4 linked regions of the Alligator mississippiensis genome follow. The protein of the gene in region 4 interacts with the protein of the main gene of each other region in a pairwise test. Links are inferred from orthologs where the notes say so. Each region holds a gene or a part of one and is shown on either strand. Other genes may lie near its edges. The genes, in order: ZNF750, BAZ2B, TSHZ3 and CTBP2.

Evidence for each region.
Region 1: the proteins of CTBP2 (region 4) and ZNF750 interact in binary tests that used the Homo sapiens proteins (3 or more experiments, as listed by UniProt). The link is inferred for Alligator mississippiensis from reciprocal best matches to the Homo sapiens genes CTBP2 and ZNF750.
Region 2: the proteins of CTBP2 (region 4) and BAZ2B interact in binary tests that used the Homo sapiens proteins (3 or more experiments, as listed by UniProt). The two-hybrid records come from large-scale screens. The link is inferred for Alligator mississippiensis from reciprocal best matches to the Homo sapiens genes CTBP2 and BAZ2B.
Region 3: the proteins of CTBP2 (region 4) and TSHZ3 interact in binary tests that used the Homo sapiens proteins (3 or more experiments, as listed by UniProt). The two-hybrid records come from large-scale screens. The link is inferred for Alligator mississippiensis from reciprocal best matches to the Homo sapiens genes CTBP2 and TSHZ3.

Annotation. Positions count from the first base shown.
Region 1 is NC_081831.1:17,148,105-17,155,535, forward strand, and holds the start of ZNF750 (zinc finger protein 750), read right to left. Parts: upstream 3,013-7,431; 5' UTR 2,805-3,012; intron 1-2,804. UniProt on the Homo sapiens protein: Transcription factor involved in epidermis differentiation. Required for terminal epidermal differentiation: acts downstream of p63/TP63 and activates expression of late epidermal differentiation genes.
Region 2 is NC_081827.1:221,309,272-221,316,755, forward strand, and holds the start of BAZ2B (bromodomain adjacent to zinc finger domain protein 2B), read left to right. Parts: upstream 1-4,482; 5' UTR 4,483-5,382; intron 5,383-5,556; exon of another isoform or gene 5,557-5,632; intron 5,633-7,484. UniProt on the Homo sapiens protein: Regulatory subunit of the ATP-dependent BRF-1 and BRF-5 ISWI chromatin remodeling complexes, which form ordered nucleosome arrays on chromatin and facilitate access to DNA during DNA-templated processes such as DNA replication, transcription, and repair.
Region 3 is NC_081833.1:58,808,081-58,815,068, forward strand, and holds the start of TSHZ3 (teashirt homolog 3), read right to left. Parts: upstream 3,002-6,988; 5' UTR 2,916-3,001; intron 2,735-2,915; exon of another isoform or gene 2,638-2,734; intron 2,509-2,637; exon of another isoform or gene 2,239-2,508; 5' UTR 2,044-2,238; coding exon of another isoform or gene 2,004-2,043; intron 1-2,003. UniProt on the Homo sapiens protein: Transcriptional regulator involved in developmental processes. Functions in association with APBB1, SET and HDAC factors as a transcriptional repressor, that inhibits the expression of CASP4.
Region 4 is NC_081829.1:82,165,143-82,173,068, reverse strand, and holds the start of CTBP2 (C-terminal-binding protein 2), read right to left. Parts: upstream 3,016-7,926; 5' UTR 2,735-3,015; intron 1-2,734. UniProt on the Homo sapiens protein: Corepressor targeting diverse transcription regulators. Functions in brown adipose tissue (BAT) differentiation. Isoform 2 probably acts as a scaffold for specialized synapses.

The sequences.
Region 1 (7,431 bases), on a different chromosome or scaffold from region 4:
TTTTGTCTGTAATAAGTTTACTGTATTTGATTTTTGACTAATGATGTATAACTAAAGTTGGGGGCTTGTAATAGACTTGGTTAAGTCAGTTTGTACTAGTTCTTCTTTGAGCTTTCTTGAGAGTACAGGCACTAATTGTGTTGGAAGAGAGACTGTTGTCAAAATAAGCTATTCAATGTGTTCTAAGATGCCATATTTTATTATAAATAATGTTAGTTATTTTTATTTTTTTATAGAGTCTCTTTGCTTAATAGTATAAGATCCTGTGTGCATCTTCCTCCATGCTGTTAAAAAGAAATAATTGAAATAATATTTTGAACTATGATATTTTGAACATACAAATGGATTTTTGCACTTTGAAAGCTAAGCACTTGTGTAATAGGAGTGGTGAATTAATTTCTTTGCTTTGTGTTTATTAAGGAAAGACAGCTAAAAAAGTTTTACAAGATTTTTTTAAAGTTTTTTAATTTTACCTAAATGCTATTCTTACTCATCAAAACTACAGGCAGCAGTGCAAACTGAAGCAGCTGTCCTTATTTCATAGGCAAAGAATAAGCAGATCATTACCTGAGCTGTTTACCTCTCTTAATTTTGAGCTAGTATCTACCAGCTCAATTATCCTATCCCCTCTTCTTTGTTGGTTGTGCACCCCCGAGTTGTTCTAACTGACCTTCATCCCATTGGCTGAAAATACCAGTAATAACATGCTTCTAGTCCAGGAAAGACAAAATTTCAGTTCCAGTCTCCAAGAAAAACATAACAGTATCTACAGATACGTATTTACATCAAAATTTAATTATTTGATCACACAAATACCATTAGGAATAACAGGAGATGGTTTAAAAAAATAGTTGCAAGCTCTTAAAAAACAATAAAAACACCATATATATAGGAAGCATTAATTTCTTTATGGTTGTACTATATATGGCTGTTGCTGAGAAAGTAAAAGCTAAACTGTTAACACTAATGGTTCTGAAGTTTTCATGAGTGAAAAAAAATCGTCTTCCTTTTAAAATCCTGAATAATATGATGGTATATTATCTGAAAATCATTATAATCTTCCATAACAATGTTATAACGTTAAATACTTAAGTATTTTACACTTCATTTCATTTGTACTTTGACTGTTTGATTTTAAATATTCAGATAATTATACTTATTTTATAAATATCCTAAATGCCCTTTCCTGGCTTCCAACTGTACTAATGTTTTACTTGAAAATAGGATATTCAGTTACTGTTGGTTAAATAGAACAGAAGCGCTCTTAGCTGTTTGTGTACTGCTTGTCTACCTTTGTCTTGCTGTATTGTATTAGGCTGTCTTTTTTGCATAACTGCCCTCCCCCGCTTTAGCCTGAATGTGCATAGTTTCGGTTGGCCACAGGTTTTCTTCGTCTCATTTATAAACATGCAAAACTGTTGCCAGACCTTTCTTTTTGTAGTATGTTAGCCAGTCCTTAAATTAAGAATACTGTAAATTTGCATGTGTTAGTTAAAGTTCAGAGTAATCTAGATTTTTTTTAAGAAGTCTTATCTACTAAAGTGGTAGTTTCAGAATTTCTTTTATTACAAACATGGGTGATAATTATAATCTCTCTTTATAGGGCATTGCTATGACAGACTGTGCAAGTGTTGTGCAGGCTTTGTTATTGTTGCAGTATTCCTTATGGTGATGTTGATTTCTCTGAGCAGGAGTACTTATTGGGGTGGAACATTTTGAAGGGCACGCTGTAATTAAAATATTGTGATGTGGCATTATTGCATAACTCAAGGACATGCCATTGTCACCTAACAGGTGTGTTGCAAGAACAAGATTTGTGAGTTTTATTCCAGTTAAGATTTTCCAGTGATTAACTACCACTCCCTCTTAAACTTTCAGGGGTTTTAAACTTAAAAATAATTTTTAGCAAAACTATTCAAAGACTGATAGAAAACATGGGCAAGAGGGTGGGATGAGAGTTAGAATGAGATAAGAGATATTGGGTGGAGGGTGGAGAAAAAAGAATCACAGTTGCACAAATAACTCAGCTTAGTAGTACAAGTTAGTAACCAAACTTTGTAGAAAACAAATTTAATTGACATTTCTAACAACTTTAAAATGTTAATGGATCAAAGACAAAGCTAATCTTATATCATTAATCTTTCTATAAGTCAGAGATGCATGTTTAAAATGAAGATTATTCCATTTTGTATGTAAAGTCAATGCATTTTAAGTTATATCAGTGATTGATTACAAACGGTTGCAATTTCTAATACCTTACTGAGCTTATGTGCTGAAAGGGAGAAAATATACAACAGTTGCCTAATTTATTATTTTGTATACATTTTTAGATTAATCAAGTGTTACATTTTGAGAGAAAGTCAGCAGGGTATTATTTAGTAACTATAACTTGCACAATGTATCTAATGCTCATGATTTTTTGTGCTGTTTTACATTATAGTGGAGGTAAGATGTTAACAACTGGTTTGAACAGCTGCTTAACATATTTTTATCAGAAAAGTTAACACAATGTGAAAAGTTAGTCTCAGGAGGGAAGCTGGGTGGGGATGGCAGGTGAAAGAGGGAGAAAGATATTTATTCTCTTTCTCATAAAGTATCAGTTTGTCTTGTTGGAGCTTTCTGACAGAAGCCTTAACTCTACGATAAGTTCACCTGCTAGAAGTAGTTACCCTACACACTGGAGTTAGTTAAAAAAAAAAAAAAAGTGCTAGCTGCTGATGAGCGAATACATTTGATTACTTTTTAGATGTCAGTTTCATTACTATCATTCTTAAATTACTTTTATTAAAAAAAAAAGTACTTACTAGTTAAATAGATGGATGAAATGTTGAAGGTGATCCCTGTGGCTAAGCTGTAGCTGTCAGTGCTGAGAGAGAAGTACCTGTTCTCTGCTTGATTTCTAAGTGAAACTGAAGGAGGCTGTTTCAGTGGGAGGGATTTAAAAAAGTGTAGGAGTTGAGCCCTCAGGGTGTAGAGATGCACCTGATATTACTCCAGCCTGAAGCTACGATTCATTTGTTTGCATCCACCGCTTTGATTCAGCAGCATCTGAGCTATCAGACAAAACTCTTGTCACTTTTATGCCCTCCAACAAGCAAGTTTCTCTGTTCCTGCACTGTCATGTTTGTGCTACTGAGTAGTAGTAGTCTCCTGTTTAAGCTGGGTAGAACATTGTGACAGATGTGTTTTGCTGAAGATGTTTTAAATCAGTTTTAAGTGGGACACATCCTAATGACTTAAGTGGCTTGTAAACAGTAGGAGAAATTACATGTATAGTGGAGCAAACTACAACAAATCCAGCAATATTTTACTTGTGTTTAATTTTATAAAATCCATAGTCTTGCCTGAATGCCTTTGCTATTTAACATGCTTGCTTATTTTTTGTCTTCACTTCTACTGAGATCTTTTTTTGTCCTTCACGAGTCTCCACTCTGGCTGAGGCGGGACAGAACTAACTTCAAGCCTGCTTGCTACAGGAACCTGCCAAAGCTTGCCTATAATCAACAGCCAAATGCACGGATACTGTAAATGAAAAGGAGTCACCTCAGCAGGAAATTGATTATTGCATTCACACTTTCTCTCCTCTGCAGGCCAGCCTGACAACTGTTGAGCAAACAGATTACCTCCTCTTGGTTATCTGCTTTTAGTTAGATTTTATAAATATGACAAATGTATTACTGCATTCTCCAGATTTAAACTAGACATCTAAAAGTTTTCTTTGCAACACTATTAAATAAGGAAATAAAATTCTTGTATGACTTATCCCCTTTTAAAAACGTTATTATGCCTCTTATTTTCTCTGAAATAAGTTCCTCAATTAAACTTATAAGTTTTTCAGTCAGAACGGAGGTTTAGGAGAATAAGAGCTGGATATAGGTGGAATCTATTTGTAAAAAGAAAAGTGAAAGAGCTTTCTCTATGCATTTTGGTTTTGTATGTGAATTATGTTAAAAAATGTTGATTTTAACCACTTAGTTTCAGGCTGGATACTAATATTTTGTGTCAGTCTTTCCTCCCGCCCTAGCATCATGGTTGTTGATTTTTGAGAGTTTATTTTGGGATGAGAATAGTGGATGTATTGTGTCAAAAGCCACAGTGTAGGTTTCTGAATGAATTTGAGTATTGTGATCTGTTGTCCAGATATCCCTCTGTCAAGAGTGCTATTATTTCAGATCTCTACAATAGGAATATGGAGACAAATTAGTTCTGTATGTGCTATTTCTTAGTCTGCAGTCCATATTAAACACTAGCATATGCAGGCAGGACTCTGGGAATATGCCTCTACACCAGCAACTATGTTGGTCCTTCATTTGTTGTCTAAATTCTGAGTCCAGGTGAGCTAGCAATCTGAATTGAAATCTCCTATGGATTAAATTGGAAATGATCCATATGGAATAAAGGTACAAGTCATCTTTAAGTAAGGGAAAAAGTTATAGCGGGCCAGGTATAAGGAGGATGTGGTAGAAGCTTCTCGCTGCATGAATTCTGAGTAGAGGCACAAGACTGGATGATAGCAGACTTCAGACGACTCTTATACCTACAGGTAATCCTTCACAAAGCAAGTTTGAAACTTCTCAGCACGTCATTTTGGGTTATCCATGCAATAAAACTGAATTTGTTGTACTAAATGGGAATAAATACAGGGGTTCAATTTCTGATACTGTTAGTAAGTAATCTTTTGCCAGAATCAAATGATGTACATTTGCAGAAAATATATTGAGTGTATTGACCTAAAAAAAGTTTTTTATGTGTTTTTCTAGACTCTTCTGTGTAGGTAGACTTCTCTTTCTTGCTACTGAATAACAAAGAATGCATTCAGAATGCCTTATGACTATAGGGGATATGCTCCCTATGTTTCAAAATAGTAAAGGTAACAACATGAAAAACAAAGGGGAGAATTTAATTTTACTTTATGCTGTAATGTCTTTTGCCCAGGGATGGACTTCCTTTTTGCTGCTACATCTGACACAATCAGTTGCTGACTCTTATTTAGTCCTTGGGTGGTACTGCAACATAAGGAAATCATTTAAGGAACAACAACTAACAGTATTTTGTATGTAATATAAAACCACATAAAAATATGATTTAATACTGTATATAAAGGTATGATCCCTTGTGTGATTATTTTGCTTAGAAAAGGGATAGAGTCCAGCCTATTTGAGGTAGCGATGTGATGTGAAACATTAGGCCCCAAGAAAAGGTTATTTAAAAGTCGGGAATTTCACCATTTTTTAGGGCTGCATATGCATCTTAATAGATGTGTTTATGTGTAGATGTCTCTATTTTCTATTCACATTTGCATGCACCACCTCCTTTTCCTTTTGCAGTTGCATGACATCTCTGTGACAATTAGAGATTAGACAATTTCTTATTTGGAGAGCTTATGTTAGGAAAAGTGTGTGCTTGTGTTTGTTTTCAAAGTTTTCCTGTTTGCAGTTTATCAGTTGGGAACAGAGAACCAGTGCCTTGTTACTGTTGAGATCTTCCTTGAGCCAAAGGTCATAGAGGGTATTTATACTCCTCCAGTTTCCTCCTCAGTTGTGTAAAATTTTGGAAGATAATCTTTTGGATTACCAGCTATGCAATATTCCTTATCCTTTCTCTGAAGGTCATAGAGGATATTTATACTCCTCCAGCTTCCTCCTCGGTTGTGTACAGTTTTGGAAGATAATCTTTTGGGTTACCAACTATGTAATATTCCTAATCCATTCTTTCAAGATAGTTACAGTGAAATCAGATATGAATAATGTACTTAACTTTGTTTCTTGAAAGTGTGCATTCTAGTTTGTTGCTTCTATCCCTTCTCCAGGTTATGGAGGACACCATTTTATGTTTTTTTCCCCCTTTTCATTCCATTAACAGAAAGCTGCCTGTTTGATTCTTGAGAAACTGTCATAGATTTCCTTGTTTAGGATCAGATAAAATTGTCCTTGGGATATTTCAGAAGTTCTTGAAAGGGTTGTTAATACAGGGGGCATTTACTGAGTTGAGACAGAAGGGCAATTCATTTTAAGATCTGTTGTTTTATTTTACTTTCGTCTCTTGACTGAGTCTAAGGCAGGCAGTAAAGTAGTTCCTCTTGCTGCCTGGGTCTAGGTATAATATGGTGCTTATTAAATAGTAGCCATGCCCTGGAAGTGTCTCTTATTAAGCAGATTGGCCAATTCAGCTATGGCTGAAGTAGAGCTGCAGAAGGGGAAAGCTTAGCAAACTATGGAGGCATTATGGGTTTGGTTGAATTATATAAAAACCTGAAATACTAACTCATGGGATAGATTCCCTAGTAGAACTGATGGCATAGGATAGCTCCTGTATACTAAGACCTAGTAAAAGCTAGTAATCAATATCTATTTTCTATTAATTCATCATACTTGCATCTAATATTATTAGGTAAATCTAATACAGTTTGACATCCTTTAAATGTGGGTGAGCACAAGAGTCTATTAAAATGAAACGATCTCCAGAATTAATATAACGCTGTTTATTACTGAGTTGTTTTATTATGATTTTAATGTCTTTTCTTTCTGCAGAAAGATGGAATTATAGCTCCAAGTCCTTTCCCTTTTTAGGGTACAGAGAAAATTATTTCAGTTAATCTGAAATGGAATTTAGAACAGACTTAACAATGTTAAATAGGTATTTAATGGAGGTAATTGGGGTTCATTGATAGTTTATAGTAATTAACCTTTCTTTGAGGTGTCTATGTTTCCTGGTGTTGGTGTTTTCTCTGTGCATAAGATTAGGTAGCTAATGATTATGTTTTTTAATTTAGCCCTTTGTAGCTAATTTGAGAAACATCACTTTCCCTTCCTATGTTTTTATGTGAAAAAACTTTGGGCTGCCTTCATTAAAAAAAAATCTAAGGAAGTTGACACAGCAAAGAGTTGAACATTATGTTTTTCACCTTTCTGGATTGCTTCCATTTTATAACCCTACCCCAAGGTCTTGCATCTCTTTGGGCAGTTCTCTCCCTATGGTAATTGCTGGCTTTACTAGCTTCCTTATAGCACTGTTTAAGGAGGAGTTTCACAACTCAGTTTGCTCTGGACCTAACAAATCAACTGTTAAATAATTTTTGGTTCTGCCTCTGCTAAGGTTGTCAGCTTTAAAAAAAAATCAGTCAAACTGGCTGTATTTTAATATTGGATCAGTCTCTGTTTTAGTTGAATATCTTACCCTGCTAGCTCAAAGCTTCATGTCTAGGACTCTGTTTTCTTATATCTGCAGACTCTTGAGATGCAGATTAGTATTCACTGGTTCAGTGTCCATATCAGCATGGTTGAATTACATTACCTAAGACCAAACCCAGAATAGTGCAGTTTTATTTGAATCAGTCTTATTGTGCCCCAAAACATTGAACCTTACCATTTCTAATTCCTGGTTTTTGGAGAGACATCTGGGTAGATTATCTGTACAGTCTTTGTGAGCTGT
Region 2 (7,484 bases), on a different chromosome or scaffold from region 4:
GGATCTCCTGCCGGGTTTTAATGTGGCTTGGCCCATCCACATAAGGAGATCAAACAAAGTTACACACAATGGTACAGTGTATTACCAGTTAAAACAGCAGTACACAGTGTTACCACTGTTAGAGTTGTAGTAGTTTCAACCAAAGAAACCACATAAAATAAATGTGGACCAAATTTCTGCTAGAGACTAGACTGACACAAGGGCTCACAGGGCTGGACATATAAGCAGAACATGATTTTTCCACAGACTTTTTAGAAAACAGACAGGGTGTTAAGCTCTTGGGGACAGACAGTATCTTGTTGCATTTTTATATAGTGCCTAACTACTGCAAGATACTAGATAATATTGATTTAAATTACATTACAAAATCAAAAGTTTAGCATGTACATAAATAACATAGTTTCATAGTCCTTTATGGCCCTATAGGTGCAGGTGTTACATTTAAATGGACCTAACCATGGGAGATGCCATGCACTGTTGGACTGGGAAGGGCTGTGACAAGAGCAGGTGCTCCTGCCTGCTTTAGGCTTATCAGATTATCTCAATGCAGACAGCAGATCTTCCTGGTCTGGTTCTGCACAAGGCATATGGGGCAGTTGCACCCAATTATACTAGCAGTGGAGGCAGTGAAAGTGGTGTCAGCATCCATGCTGTGGCACCCCCTGAAAGGTTCTCGTGGCACCCAGGGTACTGCAGCATCCACACTGAGAATGACTGATCTTCTGGCAGCACAACTGAGTACTGCATGTTTACTGTGTTAATTGAAGATATCTTTAATAATCTTGGCCACTATGGATGAGATTTATTTTATGCCTTGGAGGCAACTTTTCTAGTGTTTGGTCTTACATGAAAAGTTGGAATCCAGATCTGTTCTGATTCTTTGGAGATTCCTTTTTTGACCCTTGGGTCCTATCTTCCCACTTGGCAAGTTAGGGTGTTTGGCAGCTAGAGAATCACTGTTTGCATCACTCCAACAAAATTTGCTTCAGAGGAGGGGCAGCAACAGATTGATCTCTAGCAATGAAACCAGAATTCCTCAGAGCCAGCAATTCACAATGATCAACAACACATCAATCCAGCTGCAAAGCTATTAATGTTATGCTTTACACTGTATGTAAACTGCATTGTGTTTGTAAAGATTCCCTGGCTTTGTGTCTTTCTAAACTCTTTGATTATAGTGAAAAGTAGATTCTAATTCATCTGACTACTCTAGGGTGACAACATAAAATAGGGGTGTAAAAGCATAAAGCCAGGAATACTTAGACATGTTAAACTGTATAAATAGCACTCAGAGAGTGATAGCATAAGCTCTGCTGTGCCAACAAGTATCTGTGATAAGAATAAACCCTTTAAACCCAGAGTAAATTTTCTGAACACAGAGAGGCTGTACTTTTCAACTGGTTTCCACTGTACTATTATGTTTAAACATAATGTTTTAAAATATAGGTTCCACATTATAATTGAATTAAATATTTAGTATTTTATTAAATCAACCTTTTTTTATTAATGCATGCTTTTCATATTAATGCTTCTATCCCTTTTCTCAGGTATTGCCAGCAATTATCAACATTTCAGAAAGGGTTTTTTGTTGTTGTTGTTTATGATTCTTTACTGAACCTTACTACATGTCAAAATTAAAAAAAAAAATTAGTACTAGACCTATATGCTTTGGAACATCATTGTGCACTCTGGGAATAGGCCAATGCTATCAAAAGTATAGGTCCTGACCTCTGCAGTGAATTGTTGATGAGCAGACTGTTACACCCATGTCCAGCCTCACTGAAATCTTTGTCTTCACCGGAGTGCTATGTGGGTGCAAGGGTCTCCACCGTCAAAGCTCATTGTAGAACTGGGAATGTCTAGGTGTGGGTATAACTTAATTCATGTAAGTAGTTTCATTGAAGCATCTGGCCCTGACCTTTCAAACACTGATGCATGCCCTTATCTTTAAGCATGCAAATAGTCCCAGTTAATTCAATAGGGTTACTCAAAGGTGTAAAGTTACATTTTTGTCTAAGTGTTCACAGTACTGGAGTCTTGGATTGCTGCATTACTGTCTTTTAGTTGTTGTTTCCAATGAAGTTTGTGACCATTTTCAATTTTGCATAAATTTATGATGCAAGTATCTAAAGAATTATTGATGATAAAGTTAATGAGCATGTAGAAAGGCAAAGGGGACTAAAAAAACCCCAGTGTTCTGAGATGCTGTTTTGCTTTTTTCAAATGAACTGAAATTTGGAACCTAAAAAGGATGTTAAGGCTCCTGCATTTTTGTTATTAATGAGTCATACAAGCAAACAAGCAGAAGAAACTAGTCTTATTTTTATTGTATATGTGGTAGAGTTTCAGTTTGCATATATTTTTATTGAGACCTAAAGTTTAAATACTGCCTTGGGAAAACCGGCCAAATTTTTAAGCTATGAACCTTTTTGATTTAATACTTAATCATTTTGAATGCATCAATAGATCCTATAACAACAGCTTCCATTAAGTAAGCAAATTAAAAGAATTTCTAATACTTTTATGAAACTAGTGAAGTGTTTACACTAGTAAAACTTTTTTTCTTGTGACAATTCTTACCACAGGTGAGCTATCACTGCTTTATGAAACACATTTTGCTGTAGAATACAAAGTACTATCTAGTGACCTAATAATCTTTTAAACAGCTAATTAAAGCCAAACTCAGTACTTAGCATTCCAGAACTTTATGAAGTGCCCTGTTTAAATCTTCAACAACAAATAATTCCCAATGGCTCAAACATGAATATTTTGCTAAACTTTATTTGAACAGAAGAAATATGGCATAGAAAGTAAGGTTCTGTATTCAAAATGTTTCAATTCTATGGCTATGGGCACTAGAAAAAGTTGAGATAGCTAACATCACAAAATACCAGTGTTCTGCTTTGTCTTGATGTTTTGGCATACTAAAAATTCTAAGTGAATCATTCTTTGCAGTTGTGCTAATAATAATAGATATTAGGATTTATATCACATGCTAATGGAAGAGATATATTAAATACCTGCATCACAGCAAGTACATTTTATATTGAGTTGTCTAAATCCATTGTTTATTTCCATGTGTTTTAAAATTCTATTATCTCTAGAGTGATAATATTTGTTGTCTTAGAAAATATATGAGTTTTTGATGAATAACATTAGGAGTGAAACATCTCTTTTATTGTATCCAGACTTAAATTCTTATCCCACATTTTTCTTCAAGAACATTATTAGTAAATTTTGAGGTTAGAGAAGTACTGACCCAATCAAACATGTACAGAGCTTGGCCTCTGAGTTAATTAAATATGGGTTAATAACATATTATAAGGAAATCATTGTCCTTATTACAGTTATTAGGTAGTTAGTCAAATTATAGCTTCAAAGGAATGCAGAGCATGGAGAACTCGGGATTAAATTATGCATTTGAACCTTAGGCCAGCTTTTACTGTTGAGACAGTTTGCTACTAAGAGAAATTGTGTGTCATTGAAATTAAATGCTTTTCTGGGGATGGAAGGTTCCAGTTTTTAATGAAATTACTGAGTGTGGTGTAGTGAAATGATTAAAATCTGTATTCCGGGAATGTGGCAGTGAAAAAATCAATAAATGCTAGCAAAGCTTTGCTGCTGGATGTGAATCCTGGGAATGAAATAAACTAGTACAAAAATAATAATTAAAAACATATCAGCACATTAATTTATTTAGCATCAGTCTCTTGAGACATCATCTTCACTAATTTTTAGCATACATTTTACTGTGTAATGAGAGCAGCTTTCTTTTCACATATCCCTATTAGACAGGCAGTATTTTTGCCCTTCCCCCAATGTTCCTGCATTGCAATCATTGTGCTTGCACTTATTATGTTACAAATGACCGAGGTAAGGCTGACATTCTCATTGCATGCAAAAAGACCTAGTCTGCCAAGCTTTTTTTTTTCTAATGAAGCAGCTTTGTGAAATCTCCCCATGTGTTAATACTAATGAAGATCCTCCAGCACAATTAAAATCACAGCCAGTGGCTGAAGAAGAAACACAAAACAATGGCATCTCTCTACATATACATATTTCTTTATGTTTCAAGCAGCTACATTTAGACGTAATTTTGAAATGATTTTTAGAATATCAAATGATTTTCTGTAGTGTTAATTGTGAAGCAGTCAGACACTGTATTTTTTAAATAAGAGATGCTTTATAGGAGACACCACAGTGAAAAGAGTTTTTAATTTCTTTTTCTACCTTCTGTGTGGGATTTTATTATAACTTAAAATCTTTATCTTTATAGTCTGGAGGAAGCAATTCTTTGTTTTTTGTGTACTTTAACCCCGGCCTTGCTTGACTCTTTGCCAGGGGGGGGAAGAGAGAGAGAGAGAGAGAGAGAGAGAGAGAGAGAGAGAGAGAGAGAGAGAGAGCGCGCGAAACCACGTGTGTAGTTTAAAGGGTTAGAGTAGGGAGGTGCAAGTATTTTTGCTGCTCTTCTACAAAAGAATCTATTAACTCAGTTGTTTCAGCCAGGGCAGGAATTTCCAGTAGACAAAATAAAATGCTAATATTTCCAGACATAGCGCAAAGCACTTAAAAAAAACCCAACAACTTTAGCAAATAGTTCTTTTTGAACATATGAATATTTATACACCTTGTATTTTTTATTTTTTTTTCTATTTTGTTGAATTTGTTTCCATTTGCACTGTGTTTCTTTTGCGAGACCTGACCACCGCATCCAGTATGACTTTCTGATGTGTTTGGTCTCTCACTACATGGACTCCTGGTGCTTTGGTAGCAGGCTGCCACTTGCACCCCGAGATCTTCTGGGGATGTAGGAGAGCTACATGGTTCAGTCTCGAGCAGAGCATAAGCCATCGTTCAGGACGTTTCAGGTGCTGTGCCTTCGCCTCCCTGTGTACGTTAGCTGCCTTCAGATCCTCCCGAGCGGATATCAAAATGCGTTGGGCTTTTTAAAACACACCAACTTTTCTGCAACTTTCCCTAGCCCAGAGCCCCTTGCCCGAGCGTGCGTGCACGGGGGGAGCAGGAATGCAGCGCTTCCCCCCGCTTCTTGCAGGGGCTGATAGGTCATTTATTACCGGGGCTGGAGCGAGATAAACAAGCCTCTCTCTTTTTGCCCCTCGTTAACAGCAACTTTCATTGTTGGAGCGAGAAGAGCCTTCTCGGTTGACGTCACTTTTGGTTCGCGAAGCCTTCGCCTGCAAGGGAGGCTGAATAAACCTCGAGGAGAGCAGCAGCTCCGCGCGGGCGCTGCTAGCAGGGGCGAGGGCGAGGGCGAGGGCGAGGCGGCCGCACCCGCACCCCCAGCCCGCCCCGGCGCTTCTCGGAGCGGTGGGCAGCCCGCCCACCCGCACCTGGCAAAGGGCAGCTCTGCCAGCCGCCAAGGTGAGTGGCAGCCGCCCGCGGCGCGCGGGTGGGGGCGCGCCCGCCCACCCCCCCCAGCCCTGTGCCCGGCCCGGCCCGGCCCGGCCGAGGGGTCCCGGCCGCCGCCCCGCTTTGTTGCGCGGGGGTGGGGGGGAGCGGCGCGGCTGCCGCCCTGCCAGGGGCCCCGCTGTAAACTTTATGCATGGCTGCGGGCGGGCGGCGCTGCCTCCGCCGGGGTCGCCGCTTTGTGCGGGCTGAGGGCGGCGGGAAGGTAAGAGGAGCCGGCTCCGCGCCGGCCCGGCCCTTCCTAGGGGATGCAGCCGGCCGGGCCGGGCCGGGGGAGCTGCCCCGAGCTCCGCCGAGCCGAGCAGAGAGGAGCGGGGCGGCGAGGCGAGGCGAGGCGGCTCCCGCCCTGCCGCTCTCCTTTGTGCGCGCCCGGCTCCCTCGCGCAGAGCCAGAAGCGGCTGCAGCCCTTGGCCGAGTTGTTGAAATTTATCCCTTTGTGTATATTACAATATCCTCCATTTTTCTGCCCTCTAAACAACAAGCCTTTCGCCATCTTGGGCAAATTTGGGTGGCCCGGCGCGGCTGTGCTGTGCTGCGCTGCGCTGTGGTGTGCGGGGCGCGGGGCAGCGGCTGCGGGAGCCGCGGGGAAGGCGCAAAGTTGAGGCGGGTCCAGGGCCCGACTGTGACGTCACCTGAAGTTGGAGGGGCATTTTTCCAGGAGCCCGGCGCGGTGCCCAGGGCGGGCTCCCCGGCGCGCGGGGCGGCCGCACTTGACGTGCACAGGTTGGTCGTGGGTCCGACTCCGCCGACTCCGGGGCTGCAAGGAAGGCGCCTCCTCCTCCACTGTGGGGTTTGTTTGGTTTTTTTTTGGTAACAGGTGGAGGAATATCTTTGCGTGACTCTCACTTTTATTCCATTTTTGCGGCCTTTTGCACAGAAATATTAATGTAGCCCTTTAAAAAACCAGAGTTGTGGCACAACATGAACTAGTACATCATGCGGGGATCAGCCATGCTACTATTTACAAGCGGTTACCTGCACCTCTTACTGAAATTTGCACAAGATGTTCAGTCCAGTTTTTTCCCGAAGTAGCGAGTGCCTGGCCTCTGGTTTGGGGGGGGGGGGGCTGGGAAATATGCTTTTTTTTTTTTTTTTTAAGTGCTCATTGCTCAGATATATATTTGCAACAAATAAACTCTTTTAATGTAGTGCTGGCTAAACATTTCCTTTTGGAAAGTACCTGTAGATATTACATGTACTTCAGAGGATATTACAGATGCTGGATTCTGTGGCTAGCAAAATGTAGTTGGCATGCTAAATTGAATTTTTCTTAATACCGATTACCTCTGGCTCTCAGCTCTCGTGTCAGCTGTTGCAAAAAGGGAAACAATAAAAGGTATTGTTCTTTTAAATTACTTCTCAGTGATGCTCTTCATCTCATAGAAGTTCTCTTGGTCACATGGCAAAACTTAGGCAAACCCTGACTACTTGATAAATAATAAGTACCATAAATAGAATGTTATATTTTAATTCCTTTTCCTGCATCAGTTTTACTTTTTACATATTTACAGTCATGCTAACAAGAACATGAAACTGTCTGTGTTTAATTTGCATTCCCTTTGTCTTCAGGGTTGGTAAAAACATTCTTTACAATTAACATAGAGACTAACAGGAACACTTCTAGTACATCAAGATGTTTTTTAGCAAACTCAAAATTGAATGATATATTTAACATATTTTTATGGTTGCATAGAAAGTAGGTTTTTATGTTAATAAATGTCAGCTGCTCACCTTAGCATGTTCTTTAAAAATGCTTTAGAAAGCCTAGCTGAATTAAATGTCTGCCAGTTATGTGAATCTTAGGTAGATGAAAATGTTTAAATAGTTAAAAGCACGTAGAACAGATGGTTCTAAATTATACATGCAACAAAGGCCTGGAAGATTTGGCAGATTATAAATGGTGAGCAACAGAGGATTAGCAGTTTAAGAAAATGGTAGTTAAGTATATTTGATGTCTCGCACCTATTGTAAACCGTGCGCACATTTTTGTCACAATGCTACATGAACAATTTCCAGGCAACATCAAGCAAATTGTATTTGTATTTGAAACCATTTTC
Region 3 (6,988 bases), on a different chromosome or scaffold from region 4:
TCAACTTCGCAGAACTTGATTTTCATGCAAGTAAATTAAGGTTACAACCTAGCTGTTACAAGGTATTTTGAAAGGACAAAAGTTTTCAACACATTTGAAGACTGTCCTTATTGATGGCACTGGATAGAAAGTCAAAATGCTCAAGCAAATTATTTTGCTACAGTAGCATTTCCTAGATCTTATAAATACTGCACTTCCAAAAAAAAAAAAAGAAAAAAAAAAACTTAGCAAACTTTCCAACTATCAGAAGAAGACGACGATTACACAATCTACTGCAAAACATACGGTTTCTTCTATTTAAAAAAAAAGTGTTCAGCTCACATAGGTATCAAGGGATGTGGGGAATGAAATGCGGACAGAGTTCTTTACATTCGGTTACTCGTTGTGTTACTTGCTTCTTACTAAATTCAAACTATGGCCCTTTGAGAACTTGTCATATTGTTAGAACGTACACACAGCTTTTTGAAAGCACTGCTTTTGGCAATACTCTGTTAAGTAGCAGGATTACCTTATTTAAGTTATAGTATGCACTCCTAAATGAACTGCTTAAAAATACTACTACACCATTTGGAAAACTCCCACATCCATCCATGCACTGCATATGGGTCTCTCCTAAAGTGAGAATTATGAATGCTTCAAGCTTCACTTACTGGTTCCCCAAATTGTTACGCTAATGAAAACAGGCCCTGTATTTCTACATATCTAAATATTCCCACCAAAATACTCGCCCCTGTGATTCCCAGCATGTCACACATCTAGCCAGAAGCCCCTAAAGTTGCACTGACAGAGAGTTGACAGGCCACATGTGACGTCACTGAGTCTGGCGTTACCATGGCAAGTGATTTATTGATGTTTATCGGGAATGAATAGATCAAAGGCAGCCAGATGACAGGTGATCAATCAGCCATCAAATCAAGGATGGCAACAGGCCAAGGAAACCCTTTTCCAGCCCACATATCCCCAGGTAAAGATTATTGTAACATTTTTTTTTTCCTTTTACTTTTTGCTTTTCAATTTGGCTTTTCCAGAAAATGCTGTTCGTGTTTAACAGGAGTTGACACTTCTGGCATCAGGAAAACACAACCAAACACAAGAGTAAAGCCCAGACAAAGCCCAGTAAAGTATTTCTTTAAAAATGGAGGAGAATGTAAAAATCAGCATCAAAGACACTTGCCAGTCATCTGACAACACACAGACTCTTTCGCTTTGGTTTCCTGTGCAGCTCCTCAGCTTGGGCTCAGAAATGAGAAATCAATGGGATTAGGACAAGAGGTTGCCAAAGAAAGTGACCAAGTAGGGGGATGTGGAAGTGCGCTGGAGAGGTCCCCAGCGCAGTACGAGAGGAAGAGGGGGAAAGAGAGAAACTTGAGGGAAGGAGCCTAGCCTGGGCTTTGATGTTAAAGCAACAATGCACATCTTCAGTCCCTGGCACCACACAAATACCCCCCACGTATCCCTACAAGGTCTTTCCTGCAGAAAGAAAGAAAGAAAGGAAGGAAAACAAGAGGATGGCTGGCTTCCACAAAACTGCATGGATGTGAGAGGAGGAGGTGGAGACTGAATAACAAATAAGAGAAAGAAAAAGCAAAGTAGGTGCCAAAGTAGGGGGTGGAAATGGGCAGCACATCTCCCTTCCTTGCTTCCTTCCTTCCCATAGAAAAGCTACACACGCTGTTCACAGAGAGAGAGAGAGAGAGAGCCGCATCCCTGCCCTTCACAAGCTTGGTCCCCAGACCCGGGGGGGAATGGGGGAGCCGGGAAGTCGGCACCGAAGTAGGAAAGGGACTAGGGTGCCCCCCTCCCCCCCGGAAGGAGAGAAGCGCCCAGGCAAAGTGCTGCGTCTGCCAGACCAAGAGTTACTCCGCAAAATCCGCGGCGGGCAGCGTGCGATGCCGGGGAGCGGGGCGGGCCGGGCCGGGCGGGAGCCGAGCGCCAGCCCAAGTGGCTCTGCCCGCTGGCAAGCGGCTGCGGAGGAGACCGAGGGAAGAAGGCGGCTCTCGTACCTGCTGCGCGCCGGGGCGCTTGCTGCTTCCTCCTCGGCATGCTGAGCGGCGGCGGCGGCGGCCGGGAAGAGTTGCTCTAGCCCCACAGATCCGGTGAGCTGTTCCAGGCTCGGGCTGGGGAGAGATTTGGTGTGTGGCTGGGCATACGCGATGCCGAGAAGGAGGAGGAGGAGGAGGAGGCGGAGGAGGCGGCACAGAGGAGAGGACAGCCCTGCTGCTGCTGCTGCTGCTGCTGCTGGCAGAAGAGGGGGGAAGTTTGACAAATCGGCCCGGAGGAAGGAGGAGGGGGAGCCCCCCGAAGAGGTGTGTGAGCGGGAGGGCTGGGGAGAGCCCGCAGCGCCGCCGCCCCGCCCGCACCCCGTGCCCGGCCGGGCGCGGAGATCACGGCATAAAGCGGGGGGGTGTCTCGGCAGGAGCCGGCCCAGCTTCAGTCCGCGCTCCTCCCGCTCTGCCTCCGGCTCCCTGCTCGGCGCTGGCGCTGGCGCGGCGGCGGCAACAGGCACAGCTTGAAGGGAAACGAGACGATCGCAGTGTCACTCCAACTAGTCGGCGGGGAAGGGAGAGGGGCACCGCGCTCCGCCGCCTCCCGCTCCCCTGCAACTTCCCGGCCCCGGCCCCGGCCCCGGCCCCGCACCTCGCCCCCGTGCGCGGCCGCGGCTCCAGGTGACAGCGCATCCGTCACGCCAGGCCGGGGCGGGGGAGCCGCAGCCCGGCCGCTCCTTCCCTGCCTCCCGCCCCCGGAGCCTCCCGGGGCTGCCCTGGGCCGCGGCGCCAGGAGGAGGAGGAGGAGGATTTAAAAACAAACTCTCCTCCCCGCGCAGGGGAGTTGCTCCCCCCCAACCCAACCCAACCCAACCCACCTCTTCCTTCCTTCCTTTCCTCTCTTCCCCTCCCTCCTCCCGCCCAACTTACCGCCGCGCCCGGCTTCGGGGGAGCTGGCAGGCGCGAGCGCACATCCAGCCCCGCGCGGCCGCCCCCGCCGGGCACCGCGGGGCCGCTCTGCTCCGCTCCGCTCACCTCGCCGAGGCGCCCCAATCCCTTCGGCCCGCGGCGCTGGCTCGCTGGCAGGGGGCCGCGATTCCCGCACGCACCATGCACGCACCAACTCTTGGGTGGTTGTTTTTTGTTGGGGTTTGTTTGGGTTTTTTGTTGCTTTTTTTTTTTTTTTGAAGATCACTTTTTATTTTTTTTTAATTTTTTTGGTCCAAGTTCATTGGTGAAATCCCGGGTTTAGCGAATCGATGCGCTGCGAGTTTGATTGTGTCTTCCTGGGCTGCAATAATGTGCGGCGGAAAAAAAAAAGAGGGGATGGACTCGAGCAGTGTTTCAAGTGCTTGACGAACATGGAGCAGCAGCGATTGCCAAACACCTTCCTGGCTCCCACTTGCACTTTCTTTTTCTTTTCTTTTCTTTTCTTTTTTTCCCCCCTCTCCTCCTCCCCCCTCCTCTCGTCCTTTGTGTGGCTGATAGATATGTAATGACAGCTTCAGCAGATCGCAGCCAATCGCCTTAAGTCCCAGATGCCTTCTTTACTTAAGAGAAGTGAAGCAAACACCAGTAGCAAATAATTTCCCCTCTTTTCTTTCTTTTTTTTCTTCTTTCTTTTCCTTTTTTTTTTAAAGTTCACAGGGAGGAAAAAAAGGATGATCTCATTTGGACGGTAAGATCAAAAAAAAAAAAATCTCCACTCGCCCCCATTCTTCAAGATTTGGGATAATTCCAAATACCTGACTCAGTGCAGATGTTGTTGCGTCTCCACGTCTCCTGCAGCCGCCTTGACGTTGTTTTTTTGCTCTTGCTTTTTCTTTTCAAGTTGCAGGACGTTCATGACAGGGTGGAGAAGTTACATATCTATCTATCTATATAGATATAGATTGTTGTGATGGTGGTGGTTAGGAGTTGATTGGGAGAAAAAAAAAAAAGCTGGTCTTTAGGATGAAAAAAAAAAATCGCAGTCGCCTAAAGTCCCCGGGAAATTGCTACTGTTGGGGGAAAACGAAATATGTCTTGAAAACAAGATCATGGTGAGTTGTCAAATGCCGCTTCTGCTGCCAAATTCGCTCAGTTTCCATTTCATTGATACTTGCTGGTTTCTTCTCACAGTTACAGTCTCTGCTCGCAGAAGCAGCGATCACATTGCTTAAGACTACACTGAAGCGTTACCCCACTCCCCCCAAAATCCTGTGTGTGTGTGCTTGCGTGTGTGTGTGTGTGTGTGTGTGTGAATGTGTGTGTGACTGCGTTGTTTGCACCAGAAATAAGCGACTTTCACTGAATCGGGATGTTTTTAGCCCAGTCTCCCTCTCTCTCCCACTCCCCCTCTCCCTCTCTCTCTCTCTCTCTGCTGCTATGGCATTGCATGCCGTTAGATCCGCCCTAACATCTGTCCGTCTAACCATTGGCGCATCCATCAGTGTCACACTGACTGCACATTGCAACGACAACACATCAGACATAACATAGCCTGTGATTCAATACAAATAACTAACATACTAAACAACTTAACCAGGAAGGAGTGGATCAGCCGCGGCATAAGTATTTACAAATGTTAGGCAGGCTCGGGAAACATAGAGGACTAGGCTTTAATTAATAACTCATTCTCCCTTTTTTTCTCCCCCTTCCTCTTTATATTAAAATTAGGAAATAGGAAACCTAAATAATTTAGCATAATCCTAAAGGATACATGATTTGCCAAAGGCAGTGCAGACGGACTGCAGGAATGGGCAGGATCAGCGTGTTAAGCACTTAGACCAGATGCATTTTCTATTTCTTCAGGGGAAACCGCTAAATCTGTATCAAATAAAGCAGAGAGATTGAGTAATATATAAACTGCAGTTTTAAATGACTGCAAGCCAAGGCAAATGAAGTTCTGCAACAGACACTATACAGGATGGAGTATTTCACATAGCTTTGCAACGTGAGAGGCTACAGCAAACTTTCACAGGCACTATACTCCTGAATTGGAGAGAAGCACTACCGACTACTTCATTGGGGGGAGGGGGGGATTAAGATTAGCAACATTTAAAGCATGAATTAAAAACGCTAAAGAAATTAAAAAAGGAAGTAGAAGTATAGGGTTTTTTTTTCTTTTCATGCTATTTTTAGATGTGAAAGATCCACCCTGTAATTCAGAAAATACTTGGATTCTTTATTAGTTGGCACCAGAGCACCCTGAACCAAGGGCTGTAGTGGCCAATCACTATTTTCTGCAAGTACCAAGGAGTTTCTTATTTCCCAACTCTGTTCATCTTTCACCAAATTCACAGATTGCAATCATTGCATAAAATGTGCATGATGTAATAGAGCCTTATTGCTTTGACTACACGGTACATGGCTGAGGGTCCTGGATGATGGATCAAGGACTCGAAAAAGCTTATGCAGAGAAAAGGGTTAATGTCTTTTATGTACTGCGGTTCTGCAAGATCGCAGTTACTTTTACTTTCTTCGCCTCTAAAGACTCTGACTGGGTGTATGTGTGTGCTGACATTTTTTTTTCCTGTTCAAGTTGTACTCTTCTCTACACATATGCATGCATTTATTAATTCAGTAACATCTATATTTTAACAAAGCAGAGATCACAGAACGGCTTTCACTCAGGCATAAATACACAAATGTTTGGAAGATGCCAGCAAACTGCAACAGCAGAAGCTAAGCGATGTCACTTAAGAGAGACATTTATAAGAAAACCAGAGCAAGTGCTATATATTGAGGTTTGTTTTAAAATATTTACAAGTTCACCCTTTCTTTAGAAGGGCCAATAGCAATTTATGGCATTAGAGGGGTAATAATCTAGTAAAAACGGGCCGTTTGGAGATCAGTCCTTTTTTAACGTTGGAAGCTAAACTTTTTGGAAACAGTAGTCGGTGGACTTTTCCCAGGTCAAGTAGAAACAGTAAGTCATGTGAGAGAGAATAGATACATACGTATCGACATATGTGTATAGACCCACGCATTGCACAAACTGCCAAAACAGCCAGCAAGTTGTAGGGTAATTTGGTATATTAACTCTCTCGATTTAAAGGAAGAAACAGCTATTGAACTTTCTATCAGACGAATTACAGCCTAAAATGTAGATTCTATAAAGTGCGTCAGCTTATTTTGGGGTCACAGGTTATTACAGAAGAGCAGAACCCGTAATTTTATTAAGTGTAACACTTACAAACACGATGCATAAAATCGATGACTCTACAGGCTACAACCACAAGGACTCAGCAAGCACATAAGGCTCAGCCCTAAGCTAGCTCTTTCCGGAGGTTTAATAAAGATACTATTATTTCTAAGAAAAGTTCCATAATTAGATAACCGCCACTTCTGAACTTTACATCTCTTAGGAATGCTATAGCTGGACGTTTTCATTTGATGGCCTTCTTTGCTGCCTATTTTCTCTGATCATTTCATTTTCCTGTAGGAAAGACTGAGGTATGAGAAACAAGTCCGTTAAACAGGAATCAAAGAAGGGGGGGGTAGCATACTGACCCGATAAAAAGCCCATTGAAATAAACTATTAGTTATGCTAATAAACGAGGGAGATCAATATTCAACTTCATTAAACTTAAAAGAGCTGCTGGAGAAGAAAATGACTTTCAGAAAGTAACATGTTACATGCTATTTCTGTTTCCTTTTTCCTCCCTTAAGCAAAGTGTTAAAGCTGGGCACTCCTTCATTAGGAATCAAGAGGGCAGAAGTGTGTGTCTAGGTGTATGTGCGTGTGTGTAGTCCCTTGCAGAGATTGATTTGTTATTATTGGTTGATTGCTTTCGGAGGTTCAAACACGAGGTGTAAATTGCTTGCTCTTTGGATGTTTTCCATTTACTCCGAGTAACATCCTCCTTGTTAATACCAGGCTAATTTGGGCTGCTTCATTCTTTAAATAAAGGCAAAAGAACCAACCCTAACTGACCTGGTCTTCACAAGTTGAATGTCATTAGGGACAGCGAATTAAAGCATCTAAGAAGGGTCGCACATTACTGCTTAGGCCTTTTGAA
Region 4 (7,926 bases):
GAACTCTGTGGGATGTCATTCTATGTGAGGTATCCTATTCAGCTGAACCTCATGGATTCTAAATAGCATATGCCATAAAGAAAACTGGCTTTAAAAGCTTTGAGGTTTGATTGTAAAAGGGAAAAATGGGATTTTTTACTCTATAGAGCTTTGCAATAACCCTGCTCTCTGTACTAACAAACTACGTAATTCCTAAATTCTTTGTCCAAAAAAAAAAAAAAAAGTATTGTGCTCTTATTTCAAACCATGTACATATTTTCCCTTCTCACTAGATGAACTATACTTATTCAGTTTTAGGAATGATTTGGATCCTAAATTTTAAAAGTAAGATTGTATACTCAGTGATGATAAAAGGAAGTAAAATCAACCAAGTAACTGAGTGCACTTTTTTTTTGTTTTTTTTTTTTACTGCCTTATACATACATCTGTGTTGGCTAAGCCCCCACCTCACTAATGACTAACAGGTGTGTTTTTGCAAAAGCTTTCAAAAATAAAAACCTCCTTTCTAAAAAATACTGTCCGGCACTAACAATACCAGGTCTTCACTGAAAATTTCAAATATTAATAGGCTGTTCTATATTAGCATTTATATTCACTTCAAAACTGTTCTTCTGGTAAGTTTGGTAATACCAAATAAAAATCCAGCTTTTAAAACCAGAATACTGTGTATGACCACCCATTATTTGGCCAACCCAGTGAAGACTAAAGACAAATCAGCTTTATGATACTAAAAGATTACAACACACACACTCATGACATTATTACAAATAAAATTTTTACTGGCGTATGCGTAATTGAAATGTCTCTGATACAACAATCACCTCTGCATTCATAAACGCCTCATAGTATTCTGAACACACACTGCTATAATGAGACTGTCTTCAATTTTGCTTGTTAAAAGGACCTTTAAAGAATGCTAAAGCAGGTCATCACCTTTATGTGAAGAAAACAGTAACAAAAATATTCTGTCGCTGGATATACTGTCTGTCATGTATTTTATTCACTGTCCTTAAATAAACTAAGCTCTAAATATCTGCAATAACCACACTTTTATACCTACTGGTAAACTGCCCCTTTTCGAGAAATAAGTGGTCACTAAAACTAATCGGCAGTAGACATCCTTTATTCTACTGAAAGGTAATTAACCATTACCAAAAATATATGATTAGCAGGTATACAATATCAATCAATGCATTACAGAACTGTAAATGCTTATTTCTTTTGTTTGGTCACGTTATACTTGATCAAGTGTGAATGATTAAAGTGGTTTAATTGGGGCTACATGCATTCATTGGTGGCATGCACCTTCAATGGCAATTATAAGCACATTTGAAAGAAGTGACTTTTCCTGTATTACTTTGAAATCTTCATCTCCTTACACTTTCCTCCTTTACATAATAAAGAGAACACCTCAGCATCAGGCAGGGTATCAAACATTAAGCCACAGCCAGGGTTTACCTTAGGAGTGCAATCTTGATTGAAAGACAAAAGACTACTCCACACGCAGTTAGTTCTTGTTAAAAGAATAAGCTCTTTCAGACCAAATTATACCGCGTAACGAGCTTTAAACCAACACGCTTTAGCGCTGCCACTCTGAAAATGCTCAGAGAAACGTAATTTTGCTTTTGTTGGTGTGATGGGAACAAATACGAAAGTCCAGAGCATGCAAGTAACAATTCTGCATCCTGCAAGGGGGTGGGCAAAACAATAATAGCTGGAAGAGTATTTTACAGCACAGAGATGCGAATCAATGAAGGGAGAGATTTAGTTGCAGCCACCACACACGAGGGGGGGGAAGAAAAATACCCCCCCAAACCAGGAGTTAAGGTGATTCCACCAGCAGGTAAATCTTCCTGTGCAGCGGGACAAGGGGGATTGCTCTCTTGGAAATCAGCAGTGGAAAACAGCCGCTCAACTTTGCTAAACACGGGCTTAGTGAAAAAGCACTAGATTTCTCTTCCAACACAGCCTGGAGGAGATGCCTGGGGAGGGTGCGGGGTGCTGTCACACACAAATCTCTACTGTAGCCAGAGGAGTTGCTAAGTGACTGGCTGCATCTTCATTTTTTTTTTTTTTTTTTTTTGCAGGGCCTGTGTATCCATGAGGGGCGACTCGTGGCCCTGGGCTGCATTTCCAGCCCCCCTCCCTCAGCACTGCGAAGGGGGAGGGCGGCCGGCACGGCCTGCACCGCGGAGCTGCCAGCGCCTGCCTTCCCGGACACGCCTGCCCTGGGAGGGAGCCTCCCCCTGGCCGCTCGGCCAGCGCCGCCGGCCCCTCCGCGCCCAGCGCTGAGGAATAATGCGAGCACAACAACTCTGCCCATTGTTCGCGCCAGGACGGCTCCCAACTTTCCCATTGTTGCTGCAAGTGCGGCGGGAAGTGCCGCGGACGGGAGCAAACCCCGGGGCGAGGGAGGGAAGATGGGATGGGATGGGAAGGAGAGAAGCCGCCCCTTCCCCTTCGCCTTCCCCCTGCCTCCTCCCGGCCGAGACTTTGGCAGCCCGCGCTAATCCTCCGGCAGATGCTGCCCCTCGCCCAGCCAACAATGCGCGCCCGGCACAACAAAAGGCTCCCGCTCCCCTCGGCCCGGGGGCAGCTGCAAACTTCTCCCGCCTCCCGCCGAACAAAAAGCCAAGGGGGAGGCGGCCAAAGATGTCCTCGGATTATTTGTGGCCCCCCCCGCAACCCCGGCCCCCCAAGCCCCGCAGCCGCAGCGCCGCAGCCGCAGCCCTACCTCGTGCTCGGATCCGCGGGCAGCGCCGGCCCCGCGCTCAGCGCTGCATCGCCCCGCGGGGCTCCGGCTGCCGGAGATCCACCTTAAAATGACACACACGCACCGCACAAAAACTTAATCCCCCCCTTTGCCTCCTCCTCCGCCTCCGCCTCCTCCCGCCCCGGGGAAGGCGCTGGGCGGGCGGCAGGAGGAGGATGCTGCCGCTGCCAATTGCAACTTGGAGCTGCAGGGTGGGGGAGAAAACGAGCGGGGGGCAGCGCTCGCCTCGCCTCGCCTCTCCTCTCCTCTCCTCCCCGCTCGCTCCCTTCTTCTTCTTCTTCTTCTTCTCCTTTTTTTTTTTTTTTTTTTTGGCAAGAGGCGGGGTCTCCTCCTTGCAAACCAATGACACAAACCCACATGCACCGGCCTCGCCCCCTACAGATACTCCTCACTACAAATAGGCTCTCTCCGGGGATTAGTGGATCAGCTAAAGTACAAACAGACGCAGCAAGGAAGAAAGAGGAGGGGAGGAAGGAGGAAGGGAGAGGAAGGGGGCTCCCCTGCCCTCCCACCTCCGCCACTGGCACATCAAGTTGGAAACTGCAAGGGAGTGGGCGATGCCGCCCTCCCCACGCCCCTGGTGTGCCCGCTCCCCTGCCCTGGCCCTTTGCGGCCTGCAGCGGACATGGCCAGGCTCTTCATCCCTGGGAGACCGAGGGCCTGGCAGGCAGCCCCCTGGAGCAGAAGCCTCTGCGCTCCCTGCAAAGGGGGATTCGGGGGCACGTTCAGCTGCATTCGGTTATTGCTTCTTGGCCTCTTGAAGGCTCAGATCAAGCATAGCAGTTGCTTAACCTGGCAGGGGAAATAATACTCTGTGTGTGTGTGTGTGTCCAAGAAGGCAGTTTTCCTGAACCCCCTGGCAGCAGAGCTGCTCTCCTGGCATGGTTCGGTACCAGTTTATGGAGATGGGAGTCTCCTCCCTTACTTGTTCCTAGGGCAAGCAAAAGTCAGGGGCATCCGAACCCCAAGCCTGCAAGTAGGATGCCTGCCAAAGGTTTCGGAAACATCTAAAACCCCAGGTGCGGGTGGAGGATGTTTGCAGGTAGCAGTGCCACTTATGGTTTTGGATTTGGAATTAGTTTTGGCTAATTTGGCCTCAGATGCAAATTATATTAAAAAAAATTGACTTTGACCAATTGTAGCCACTCCACTGAGGCATAAGTGTGGCCTGGCACTGGGCCACTGTGGTGGGATACTGGGGTGCTGAGGCAGCCCATGTGTGTTGGTTGCATGCACCTCAGCAGTGACCCCAGGGAAGCTGGTGAAGGGTGCAAGGCCTAAGACACAGCAGGAGCACCACAACCAGGTGTGCATTGTCACAACAGCCGTGCAGGACTCACCACTGGTTTTGTCAGCATCGCAGTGAAATATGTGCCTGACGGTACATGAAGCTGTAACGGGCTTCTCATGCTTGTTTTAAGATATTAGTCTGCAAAATACACGTAAGGTTTTCCGTAATGAGCACTGCAGCCAGCACTGCTCAGGTCTAGGCCATGCGCGTGAAGTCCATGTTACCCCTGGAAACCCCTCAGAGTCATCAATGTTTCTTTCCACCTAAGATCATTTGAGTGTGTCACACATTTGTTGCTCCATACAGAGCAGATGTAATTTGAAATTGATGGGGGGGCACTTAGGATAAAGGCCACCAGACATGCTGAGCCCCTTCTGTTGACATCTTAAATAGAAAGGGGTTGGCGCATGCACGCCCACTGAGCACCAAATTTGATATGAATATCATATAATCACGTTGTGGTTTTTGGCTGAATGGGAGATAACAAAAACACTCAAACAGGCATTTAGTTGTATTCTGCGTTACACCTTATATTTTGGGGAATTAAGGTTTTGACAGACATTCATCATTTGCTTATCACAAGGATGTGGGCAGGTGGTGATCTTATCTTTTTGTTATATAACTGCTGGGCTTTCCATATCATATGTAATCCAATCATATAGAATTTCAATCCTAGTGGAAAAAACAGATTCCTTTTCTAGTCAAATAAAAACCTTGAACCAGACCATTTATCCATCGAAATTCATAAGGATACTTTGATTTTCATCTCAGGAATTACAAGGTAAACGTATAAAATGCTTCTCATCAGTAAACTGTAGGTTCTTTTTAGGTTTCAACATCGTACCCATTACCAGGATTCAAACCACCTGATGCTGAGAACCAAGACCTCATTCCTGCGACCACTTGAATGTGTTACTAACCCTAGTTCAGCAGAATTACCCATGGTGTTAAGCATTTGGAGGGTCAAGGTCCATGTTTGTATGCAAATGACAGTTTACTCACTTGGGAGTAGTAGTTTATTTACAGCTTTCACAAAAATGCTACAAGGAATCTCATAGGTATATTTGCACTATTTTTACAAAGAATAATAACTAAAATCAAATACAATTCCCTGTTTCTAATTTTTTATTCCACTATTTTATATTGCATAATTTTATTTCTTTTATGTATCATCATATATCATGTTCAGTTTTACTTGTGTTTAAATTAGTAGGAAGTATGATTTTATTGCATGCTTTTACCAATTGCAACAAATCGTGTAATTTTATTATTATATCATTTTGTTGTTAATTCTATTGTTATTTTAGTGAAAGCTGGAAATAAACTACTGCTGTTGGCAGTTATGAAAAGAATTGGGAAATCATGCCATGAGCCAAAGATTCAAAATTACACTGGCTCCAACTACATGCCTCAGGACAGATTTTAGCAAAATACAACTTCTGACCCAGTTCCCTGCCTTAGACGTTTTGCTCTGGGAAAGTTCCATGAAGAGAAAGCTCTAGCACTCTAGAACAGTATTTTATAGTGACCATCAAATACATCTCAGGTCTTTTCACTGTTAATAATTCTGCTGGCAATCAAAAATATTAAGGGTAGATCATCAGCTAGCGTAAACTGTCCCACAATGGTGCTATGACAGCTTACACCAGCTGAGCATCTGCCTGCTGTATTTTAACAATTTTTTTTCAACCATACTCACCATCTTGTTTTGCTTTCTCTCACTGCTAATTCATGTGTGTTTGTATTCGTTTGCACAAAACCATCCATGCAATCTATGGTGCTGCAGGAATCAACAATAATATAATTCAGAATAAATAATGTTGAGTTTATGAAATAAATGTGGTTGGTAACATATGCTGAGGTCATAAACACAAAATAGTTATTTCACTGGAAGAGCAATTAGATGCCAGGTTGTAAGAAAGAAAGCTCTTATGAAAACACGTATCTTCAAAATTAAGAAGGGAAATATGGGAAACATCAGGTGAAGTCAATTATTTTTTCCACAAATTACTTCTTGTTACTAGTACACATTTTTCAGATTTTCCAAATATGAAAGAATTTTGGGGAAAAAGATATCTGTCCAGATCCAAGAAGAGCTTTATGTTCCTGAAGTGGGATTTATGCAGAATTCAAATGCCTAAGTTCAAGCTGCAGTATTGAAGGCCCCTATTCTGGATGAGCCTAGATACTTGAGGTTTCTTATATTTTTACAGTAAAGTTTCCCAGCTCCCAAGAGTTTTGCATTTGTGCATGCCCAGAATTTCCCCATCTTGACATGACTTTACTGGTCAGCACTTAGCTCATGCCTCAACCTGAACAGAAACCCTGAACCTGAGCAGGCCACCGTCTAAAATTCCCGAGAGGCTCAACCCAGTAGGCATTCCTAGATTAAACCTAGCACATGGCAACAGGATCAGGCTTCTCAAAAAACAGTAGCTGGCTGTTCTGATATTTTATCTAAAAACCCATTTGATGTAAAATAATTGAAACTGGAAAAGTGCCCTAGCCCAGTGGTTCTCAGCCTTTTTAGACTCATGGCACCCCTCATCAAACACACGGCAGCCTTTGGAAAATATCAGTTTTTAGCTCATTGTTTGGAGCCTATGGAAAAATAATAGAGCAATTCTTCTGTTGCAAAGAACTCAGACCATAGCAGCTAAGAAATGCTTTTGACACAATGGATTCCTATTTGAAATCTCTGGGTTTATCTTGGGTATCATGTAGGTTCACACACCTAACAGTACTAACACTACCTGGCACACTGTGGCACCCTTTAAAGGCTTCAAAACATACCTGAAGGCACCTATACACATGCTCGATTAATTGAGTCTGCTGGAGCGTTTTAATCAGGAAGCTCCAGCATGCTGCAGTGTCTCATGCATTCTGCATCCCAGCATTTCAAAATGGCAGGGAGGGCGCTTTAACTAAAGCTTGTTAAAGTGGCTCCCAAGAAGTGTTCAAATTATGGTGGGGCTTGTGGGGAGGAGTGGGGGCTTAGCACCCCTATAAGAGACAGGAGCCCCCTGGTAAGCTTTGAAAATCATAATCTGGGGGGGTCTCTGATTTTATTAGGGCACCATGATGGGCAACCCAATTTTTTTTGTAGACCCCCCCCAAGATTGCAAGTGTAATTCAAACCCTGCTCCCAAGAGCCGTTCTAATTAAAATGCCCCCCACATCCCCTACCCCACCCTAGAGCAGGTGTAAAAATGCCCTGAGTGCTGTATCACCCTCACTGAGAATCATTGCTTTAGCAACATCATCTTCTGTTCTTCCTCCAAGTGTGCTCTAAAAAAATGAACAAGCCCTCAGTTCTTCACAAAAAAACATGTCTATACCCAGAAGAAAGTTCAGCACTGTAGATCCTGAGTGGTCAGCTAGACAGCTCCCTGCAGCCCTGAATAAAGTGCTTGCTGGGCAAGATTTAGGACTTGGTCCTGTCATCCATGTTTGCCCATTGGCCAGCTCAAGATAAGTGGTGCCCCAATCAGCATTTTGGCTGGTTTGGATCCTGTACTGAGATGTCCAGCCTCCCCTTTCATCCCTGCCCCCTGAACAGGAAGACCGTAGACTCCCAAGATGAGGTTCTAAAGTTCCGTTGTGCGATGCACACAGCCATTTTATCTGATCTGGCCCACAGTATTTATGAATTTAAAAAAAAAATCTTACAAAATAAATTCAGGATCAAATGTAGGGTGCAGAATCTGCTAAAATTATTCCAAAGTGTTTGTTTATGCAGGGATCAATTATAAAATGGGAATGTGTCTTTAAAAATGTTAAGAGAAGAAGAAACAAAAGGGCTCCTTTATTCCAGTATAGTGTATAACCCAGATTAGAAGAGTTGTTTTACCAAAAGTATGGT